Oryctolagus cuniculus: one gene and its partner. Each later gene encodes a partner of the first gene's protein in a complex. Links are inferred from orthologs where the notes say so. Each region holds a gene or a part of one and is shown on either strand. Other genes may lie near its edges. The genes, in order: GTF2E2 and POLR2B.

Region 1 (4,427 bases):
GCACAGGAAAGCTCAGGAAATTTTGTTAAGCAGACGAATGGAAAATATACCTTCGAATTGCTCTATCCTCACTGGCTCCACCAGCCTTATTAAATGTTTTCTGTATGTAAGGCACTGGGCACTAAGCCTTGAAAGATTCTGGAAGAGAAATCCTTGCCTTCCAGCAGCTCAGATTTAAGATGAAGTCTCGAGCACTTTGCTCTAAAAACAATGAACAGGGGCTGGTGGGTAAAGCCACCACCTGCAAGGCGGCATCCCAAATGGGTGCCAGCTCAAGTCCTGGCTTCTCCACTTGTGATCCAGCTCCCTGGTTAATGGCCTGGGAAAGCAGTGAAAGACGGCCCAAGTGTCTGGACCCCTGTCACCCACATGGGAGACCCAGAAGTTGTTCCTGGCTCTAGGCTGTCTCAGCCCTGGCCATTGCAGCCACTTGGGGAATGAACCAGCAGATGAAGATCTGTCTCTCCCTCTAAATCAGACTTTAAATAAATCTTTTAAAAATGAATGAAATGTGAACTGAAGTGCTAAGAATTAGAAATACACCGCACTGATAAGGACTAATCAGAGTGAACTTCAGTAAGAACAGTCACTGTACCACAACGCAAACATCTACCTTCTCTGAGTTTTGATTCCTAACAGTCACACAGCCAGGCAATCCATAAAACCTCTCTAGATCCAACTTCCTAAGTAAAATAAGGACACTACCAATGCTGTCTACATCTAGTCCAGCAGTAAGAAGAAAGTGACACTGGTTTTTTAAATATTTTAAAGACAAAGTGACAGAGAGGGACAGATCTTTCATCTGCTAGTTCACTCCCCAAATGCCAGGTATGGGGCAGGCCAAAGCCAAGAGCCAGGAACCTCATCCCGCTCTCCCACGAGGGTGGAAGGGCCCAAGCACTCAGGTCATCTTCCTCTGCTTTCCCAGACACATTAGCAGTGAGCTGGATTGGCACCCACATGGGATGTCGGCATCACAGGTGACAGCTTAATTTGTTATGCCACAATCCCAGTGCCAAAACTGATTTTTTAAAGCCATATAAATAAGTTATTTTGGTATCACTATTTAAAGATCTGAAGAGAAAAGAATGATTCTTGTGGTGTGAGGAAGGCAGTTTTGGGAGGTGGGATGGTATGAGGACAGCAACAAGAAAGTGAGATTCATAACTGAGAAGATGGGGACAACAAGCAGGTTGTGAACTTTTTTTTTTTTTAAGATTGATTTATTTAGGGGCTGGCGCCATGGCTCACTTGGTTAATCCTCCGCCTGCGGTGCCAGCATCCCATAAGGGCGCCGAGTCCTAGTCCCGGTAGCCCCTCTTCCAGTCCAGCTCTGTGCTGTGGCCCGGGAGTGCAGTGGAGGATGGCCCAAGTGCTTGGGCCCTGCACCCCATGGGAGACCAGGAAGGAGGCACCTGGTTCCTGCCTTTGGATCAGCACATCGCCGGCCGTAGCAGCCATTTGGGGGGTGAACCAACGGAAGAAAGACCTTTCTCTCTGCCTCTCTCTGTCAAATAAAAAAAATTTAAAAGGAGGTTTATTTATTTGAAAGTCAGAATTAGAGAGACAGAAGAGGAAACAGCAACAGCTGTGACTGGGCTCAGCCTAAGCCAGGAGCTTCTTCCAGGTCTCCCACATGGGTGCTGGGGCCCAGGCACTTGGGCCATCTCCCACTGCTTTTCCAGGCCATTAGCAAGGAGCTGAATCGGAAGTGGAGCGACTGGAAACCGAACTGGCACCCATATGGTATACCGGCACTGCAGGCAGCCCCAGCTGAGCCACAGCACAGGCCCCAGGTGGTGAATTTCTGAAACAGGAAACCTTTCTAACGGTTTATCTCACTTTGTAATGACAGGTAGATAATCTAGGCTTTTAAAGAGGACTTTAACATATTTTAAATAAAGCCCAACAGTCTAGCAAAGCCTAAATGGTTAACAGTTCCAGATCCTCATAACTCTGGGAGACAACAGATGACCCAGTTGTTACTAGTTTAATATGTGAAATCCAAAACTAAGGCGGTAGGGTGAGATTGACACACGCCAATAAACCAGGATCCGAATACCCTGACTCCTACAAGTTGAGCGCTGGAATGCCCGCAGATGAAGATCTTTCACCACCCGACGCTCCGCCTAGCTTTACCTGCCTGTACCGACTTCGACATTTCTGAACTGACCTCTGTAGCCAACAGGACGCGACACTATGCCCGATTTACATTTACAAACACAGCAGCACGACACAGACCGCTGAGTGTTTCCGCAGATGGAAACCGGGAGACAGACCCACACCCCACGACTCGCCCTCTTCCAGCCTTTCGCGGCTTTCCCGGCCTCAGCCCCAGGGGTGCCCGGCTGACCGACGGCGCAGAGGTGCGCCCAAGGGGGACCCCGGCGTCCTGCCGGGGCAGACGCCTGCAGAGTTCTCCGGAAACTCCTGTAATTACAGACCACGAGCGCGGGCTCCCCGAGGCAGCTGGAAAGCCGGTCCGGGTGTGAGCAACTCAATCACAGCCTCGGCGGGCAGGACGCCGTGGCGCCCCGAGCCGCACACGTGCGGTTCGCTCGGCCCACGAGGGGCTCAACCCGCGCGCGACCCCACTGCCGATTTCCCCCTCTTTTCAACCCAAAAGTTTGTCCCGTGAGCCCCAGGCCTCAAAGACAGAGCGCCCACGGAGCTGTTAGCGTGTCCGAAGGGTCCCGAGACCCAGCCCCACGAAAAGTGAGGACCTGCGAGGAGAGCCGCGTCGCGGGGCGAAGAACAACAGGCCAGGGCTCGCGCCCCTCACCTGGCGGTCGCAGCCCTTACCAGAGAGAAGAGGGCAGCCCCACGCGACCCGCCGCCGACTCCCTGCGCCTCCGCCTCGGCCAGCCGTCCCCGCCGGCGCTGCCGTGGCTTCCCGCTCCTCGTCAGCGCCCTCGCCAGCCTGCGCGCACGCCCAGCGCCGACCCGCCAGCTCAGGGGTCTCGCCACTGGCGGCGGCGGCGGCGGCGGCTCCGCCCCGCCCGCCACTTCCTGATAAGGCAGCTAGGATCAGTCCCGGCAGCCACCGCGGCGCCTTCGCTGCCGAGAACGCGCATGCGTCATCGCGTACCCCGCGAGAGTAACCGCGGGAGCTGAACAAGCCGGCTCGGGCGTCGGGATCTCCATGACAACGGGAAGGTGGCTGGGGCGGGGCGGAGGCCGGGACTCAGGTGGGAGGCGGTGCTAAAGAAGATGGACGCAGCCTGTCTGTGCCGAAATTCGAAGTTAGGAAGTCCTCTTTCGGCAGGCAGGCTCTGGAGTCTAACCCGAGGGCGACGCGTTCTGGCGGCGTTTATTGTGTGACTGTCGCTCAGATGCCGCTCACCGGCACCTGAACCTGAGAGAACGTTGTAGCTGTTTCAAAGTGGCGAAAAAGGCCCCGTGGAACTAAGTGACTCGTTCGCAGCAGAGAGAGCAAAGGCGAGCCCACACGGGCTCCTTCCCGCACACCTGTGAGCTGTCTGTCACAGCAAAGGATCTCGGACTGCGACAGGAGGTGCTGGAAGCGAAACAAGAATAAAACGAAAACCATCGCCTGGCTCGCGCTCTGCCGCTCTCCGTTCCTGTTCTGAGAACCTACAGCAGCAGCGTGGCCAGCGCTTACCTATTGTGAAGCTGCCCTTTAATTACTGCTGGTTACTCCTCAAGTTACTTAACCTGTATCTCCATCTCTTCTGGGAAATGGGGATAATAATGGTACTACCGTGATGGGCTACTTGGACTGTGGCGACAATGAAGTAACGCATAAGTCAAACCAGAGCCTTTGCCTTGAGCAATCCGCTCCGAATTATCAGGATTTGGGGCTGGTGTTGTGGCACAGCTGGTTAAGCTGCCACCTTTCACACCTGGATCCCATATCAAAGTGGTGGTTCACATCCCAACTACTCTGATCCAGCATCCTGCCAATATGCCTTGAAACGCGGAAGATGACCCAAATACGTAGACCCCTGCCACCCACATGGGAGCCCGGGAAGGACTTCCTGCCTCCTGGCCTCAGCCTGGTGCAGACCTCAGTGTCGCAGCTGTTTGGGGAGTTAATCAGTGTTGGAAGATCTGCCTGTCACTCTCTGTTGTTCTGCCTTTCAAATACATTAATCTTTAAAAAAAAAAAAATCAGTATTTACCCAAGGAATTCATGGAAAAGTGGCTTTGAAAATATGTTTATTTTGGTGCAAATTATAAATGATAGATGTTGTCAACAGTGGTTATCACTCTGGCTTCTACTGCAAGTTGCCTGTGATGAGGTCATAACACTGAAAGCAATGACTGCATTTATTCAAAACACTTTTAAGTGATATCCTGTACCCTGAATCATTTCCTCAAGAGAAGTCCATAAATAGATTCATATGATCTATAATCTGTAATTAGGCCCGTTCTTGTGTCAGAGGTGCTTAAAAATGGTCATCACC
Region 2 (3,808 bases), on another chromosome or scaffold:
TTCCTGATCATAACCAGGTTGGTGGTACTTCTGTCTTCTGGTTGGTGGTGATTTGGGGGAAGTAATAAAAATTAGAGGTTCATCTGCGGTCTCTGCCAAAGAGAAAAGCTATTCACCAGAAGACTGTGGACTGCTACAGAATGAGCGTCTGACTTGCTTGCTTTTGTGTTTCATTGATAAGAGCCATAATTGATTATTCCAAATGGTTGTCACTTACCTTCAGAAGAAATCCGGAACTTTACCGGTCATGTTTCTGAGTTACGGTCAGTCTTTTCCTTTAGAGATACTAGATTTTCATTGGTTGTGCTTCTCATTTCTGTCTGTAGTCCCCTAGAAACACATACCAGTCTGCTATGGGGAAGCAGGCTATGGGGGTTTACATCACCAACTTCCACGTTCGAATGGACACTTTGGCCCACGTTCTGTATTATCCTCAAAAACCGCTTGTGACTACACGGTCCATGGAGTATCTGCGTTTCAGAGAGCTGCCAGCAGGTATGTTTGGTATTGTTTTACAATGTTTTGAGACTCTATCATGCTTATGACACTTCTGGGTGCTTGGGAGGATTAAAAAAAGTACATATGACAGAGTGCCTGTTCCCAAGGATTTAATGTGGTGGGATCCACAAAACAGAAGGGTATGTGGAGAGTGTTACGATTGAGGTCCAAAGTCCTCTGGAGGCACAGACTAATGAGGTGACTAATTCCTGTTGGAAGTCTAGAGGCAGTTTCTCTTAGATTTTAGACTGGAGTAAAGTTAGTCAGCAGGTACTTGGATGGAGAGGTGGTTTGAGCAAGGCCCTAGATGTGGGAAGGTATGAGATCCAGGAACAGCAGTGGTTACTCAAGTTTAATGTGGCTGATTTGTAAACACCATGATAGTTCAAAGACTATTTGGGAAAATGGAGCTAAAAGATGTTTATTGTGGTGCAAAAATTTTGAAATCCTGCATATGCAGGGTCTTTGAAAAGTTCGTAGAAATAATGTATTTTTTTTTTTTTTTTTTTTGTTTTGGACAGGCAGAGTTAGACAGTGAGGGAGAGACAGAGAGAGAGTGATAGACAGTGAGAGACATTCAGAGAGAAAGGTCTTCCGTTGGTTCATTCCCCCAGTGGCCACTATGGCTGGAGCTGTGCCGATCCGAAGCCAGGAGCCAGGTCCTTCTTCCTGGTCTCCCATGCGGGTGCAGAGGCCCAAGCACTTGGGCCATCCTCCACTGCCTTCCCGGGCCGCAGCAGAGCTGGACTGGAAGAGGAGCAACCGGGACAAATTCCGGCGTCTCAACCGGGACTAGAACCCAGGGTGCCGGTGCTGCAGGTGGAGGATTAGCCAAGTGAGCCATGGTGCTGACCAGAAATAATGTATTATTTCAAATTTTTTGCACCAAATAATGACCTTTTAATTCTATTTTCCATGAACTTTTTCAAGTAGCTTTGTATATGGAATGAAAGCTTTTTTTAAAAAAGAAAGTTTTTGCTTGAGTCCCAGATGATTCTTTAATGCATATTTTTAAATTCCCTGTAGGCATCAACTCAATTGTGGCCATCGCCTCATACACTGGGTATAACCAGGAAGACTCCGTGATTATGAATCGTTCTGCTGTAGACCGAGGCTTTTTCAGGTCAGCCTTTTAGAAAATCTGTCAAAACACAGAGGCAGTGGAAATATAAATTTTTAATTGAAAGTATTTAAAATAGGTTTGAATGTGTTGTACGTACTCTAGAAAGTGAAAGGCCTGGTTGATGGCCACCAGCAACTGAAGATACTGCTTGTGTCTTGGGCTATTTGGATGTGAATAGTTTGAATCTTTTTTTGGTAGGCAAATATATTTACATTCAGATAATATAGAAGAATGAAAGTGAACTCCCTGGAAACTTTGAGCAGACCTTGGGTGACCAGGGTGATCAGGTTGTTGTGGAAGGGATTCTTGGGTTAGGTAGGAGGTTAGGCTCTGTGCCCTTGGGTCCTTCTTCCTCCTACCCATAATTTCAGTTAGTTGAGGTTATGTGTCAGATGTAACATGCATAGCCCTTGTGATAGCATTTAGGATTTAACCTCATCCCTTGATAGCTACTTTGTGTCAGATTCATGGTTTAAACTGGGTCCAAATATTAATTCAGTGAAAAGTTGGTTGGAGTATTCTAAGCCCTGTTAGAAAATAGAAGTTACCTCTGGAACCATGTATTTGTAGGTCTGTTTTCTATCGCTCATACAAAGAACAGGAGTCGAAAAAAGGATTTGATCAAGAAGAAGTTTTTGAGAAACCCACCCGTGAAACATGCCAGGGTAAGTGACACCAAGATTTAAATTCTGGAATTCATAGTTAAGTTACCGTGGTTTTCCTAAGTAATTTTGCTGAGGGTGTCTCACTGTGCTCTTGTTAATTTTTTGTAGTCATTGCTAGTGTTCACATTTAAGAAAATGTTAATTTCCAGAAGGCCTTGCCCTTGGCCTTTTGTAGCAGGGGCCTTGCTTCAGACCTTCCCTGCTGGTAGGCTGGGAATGAGGGGGAAATTTAGGAAATCAGAGACGTCATGTGACTTTGGGGCACACCTCACAACGCCAGTCCTGCTTGTTCTGTGTCTGTCTGTCCTTCAGTTGACACATTGATATCAACCCTCTACACTGTGGTAAGAACATAATGATTTTTCAACCACAGTATTTGTAAACAGTAAAAATAAATGACAGGACATTTACCACTTGTTGTTTCTTCTAAAAAACTCAAACTCCCCAGCTACTTGTTTCGTAGTAAGTAGTTCATTTAAGAGCTGCTTATGCAGTGGGGTGGATGGACGTCTCAGGGCTCTGCTGTGATTTTGACTCCTGATGGCGTTGCCTGGTGTGTAATGTGTTTGTTCCCGGTAGCATCTTCCGGGTCCTCCATTTCTGTGGGTGGTTCTCAGTGTTGGTGAATTGGTATTTAGTGGTGTGCAGATCACATTTGATGAGATGCACAGTTTCTGTGGAAGAGGTGTGCCCAGGGCATAGATACTGTTTCACACCTCCCATGGGGATCAGATGATGGTGGCTCACTTACCCAGTCACTCAGCGATGTCTGTCGTGGGAGAGTCTGATTTACCAGTGTGCAGTGTGGTGTTCTTTTTCTTTGTAAACTTTTTTCTTCGTAGGCTATGGTATTACAGGGTTCAGAATAGTATGTAATACTTGGAATAAGGGCAATACGTCATCACTAAGCATGGTTCATAGTGTTAGAGAACTCTCTGTCTTGCAGCTGATTCAGGTGTGTGGTTTTTAGTCTTTGTTGGCAAGTATGTGACCTTTTTAGTGCTTTTCTGTCTGGTAGCAACATTTCAGGAAATCCTGTGTCCATCTCCCCACAGGCATGAGGCATGCTATTTATGACAAGCTGGATGATGATGGTTTGATAGCTCCAGGCGTGCGTGTGTCTGGGGATGATGTTATTATAGGCAAGACAGTCACATTGCCTGAAAATGAAGATGAACTGGAGAGTACAAATCGACGCTATACCAAGAGAGACTGTAGTACTTTCCTCAGAACCAGCGAGACGGGCATCGTGGATCAGGTCATGGTCACTCTCAACCAGGAAGGATATAAATTTTGCAAAATAAGGGTGAGTACAGGTTTAACATGTAGGTGCTTTTAGAAAGTACAGCAGTTCCACTTAATTAACTAACCTATTTTTCTATGACTCCAGGTACGCTCTGTCAGAATTCCACAGATTGGAGATAAATTTGCTAGTCGCCATGGTCAAAAGGGTACTTGTGGTATTCAGTATAGACAAGAGGTAAGTTATCTTTGATCTCCCTCACCTCCACAAATTTTGCTT

What was found.
Region 2: GTF2E2 (region 1) and POLR2B share a complex: the UniProt entries of both Homo sapiens proteins name them as parts of the TBP-based Pol II pre-initiation complex. The link is inferred for Oryctolagus cuniculus from reciprocal best matches to the Homo sapiens genes GTF2E2 and POLR2B.

Annotation. Positions count from the first base shown.
Region 1 is NC_091433.1:80,687,186-80,691,612, forward strand, and holds the start of GTF2E2 (transcription initiation factor IIE subunit beta), read right to left. Parts: upstream 3,026-4,427; 5' UTR 2,803-3,025; intron 1-2,802. UniProt on the Homo sapiens protein: Recruits TFIIH to the initiation complex and stimulates the RNA polymerase II C-terminal domain kinase and DNA-dependent ATPase activities of TFIIH. Both TFIIH and TFIIE are required for promoter clearance by RNA polymerase.
Region 2 is NC_091439.1:107,652,780-107,656,587, reverse strand, and holds part of POLR2B (DNA-directed RNA polymerase II subunit RPB2), read left to right. Parts: coding exon 1-17; intron 18-326; coding exon 327-495; intron 496-1,524; coding exon 1,525-1,621; intron 1,622-2,191; coding exon 2,192-2,286; intron 2,287-3,341; coding exon 3,342-3,592; intron 3,593-3,676; coding exon 3,677-3,766; intron 3,767-3,808. UniProt on the Homo sapiens protein: Catalytic core component of RNA polymerase II (Pol II), a DNA-dependent RNA polymerase which synthesizes mRNA precursors and many functional non-coding RNAs using the four ribonucleoside triphosphates as substrates.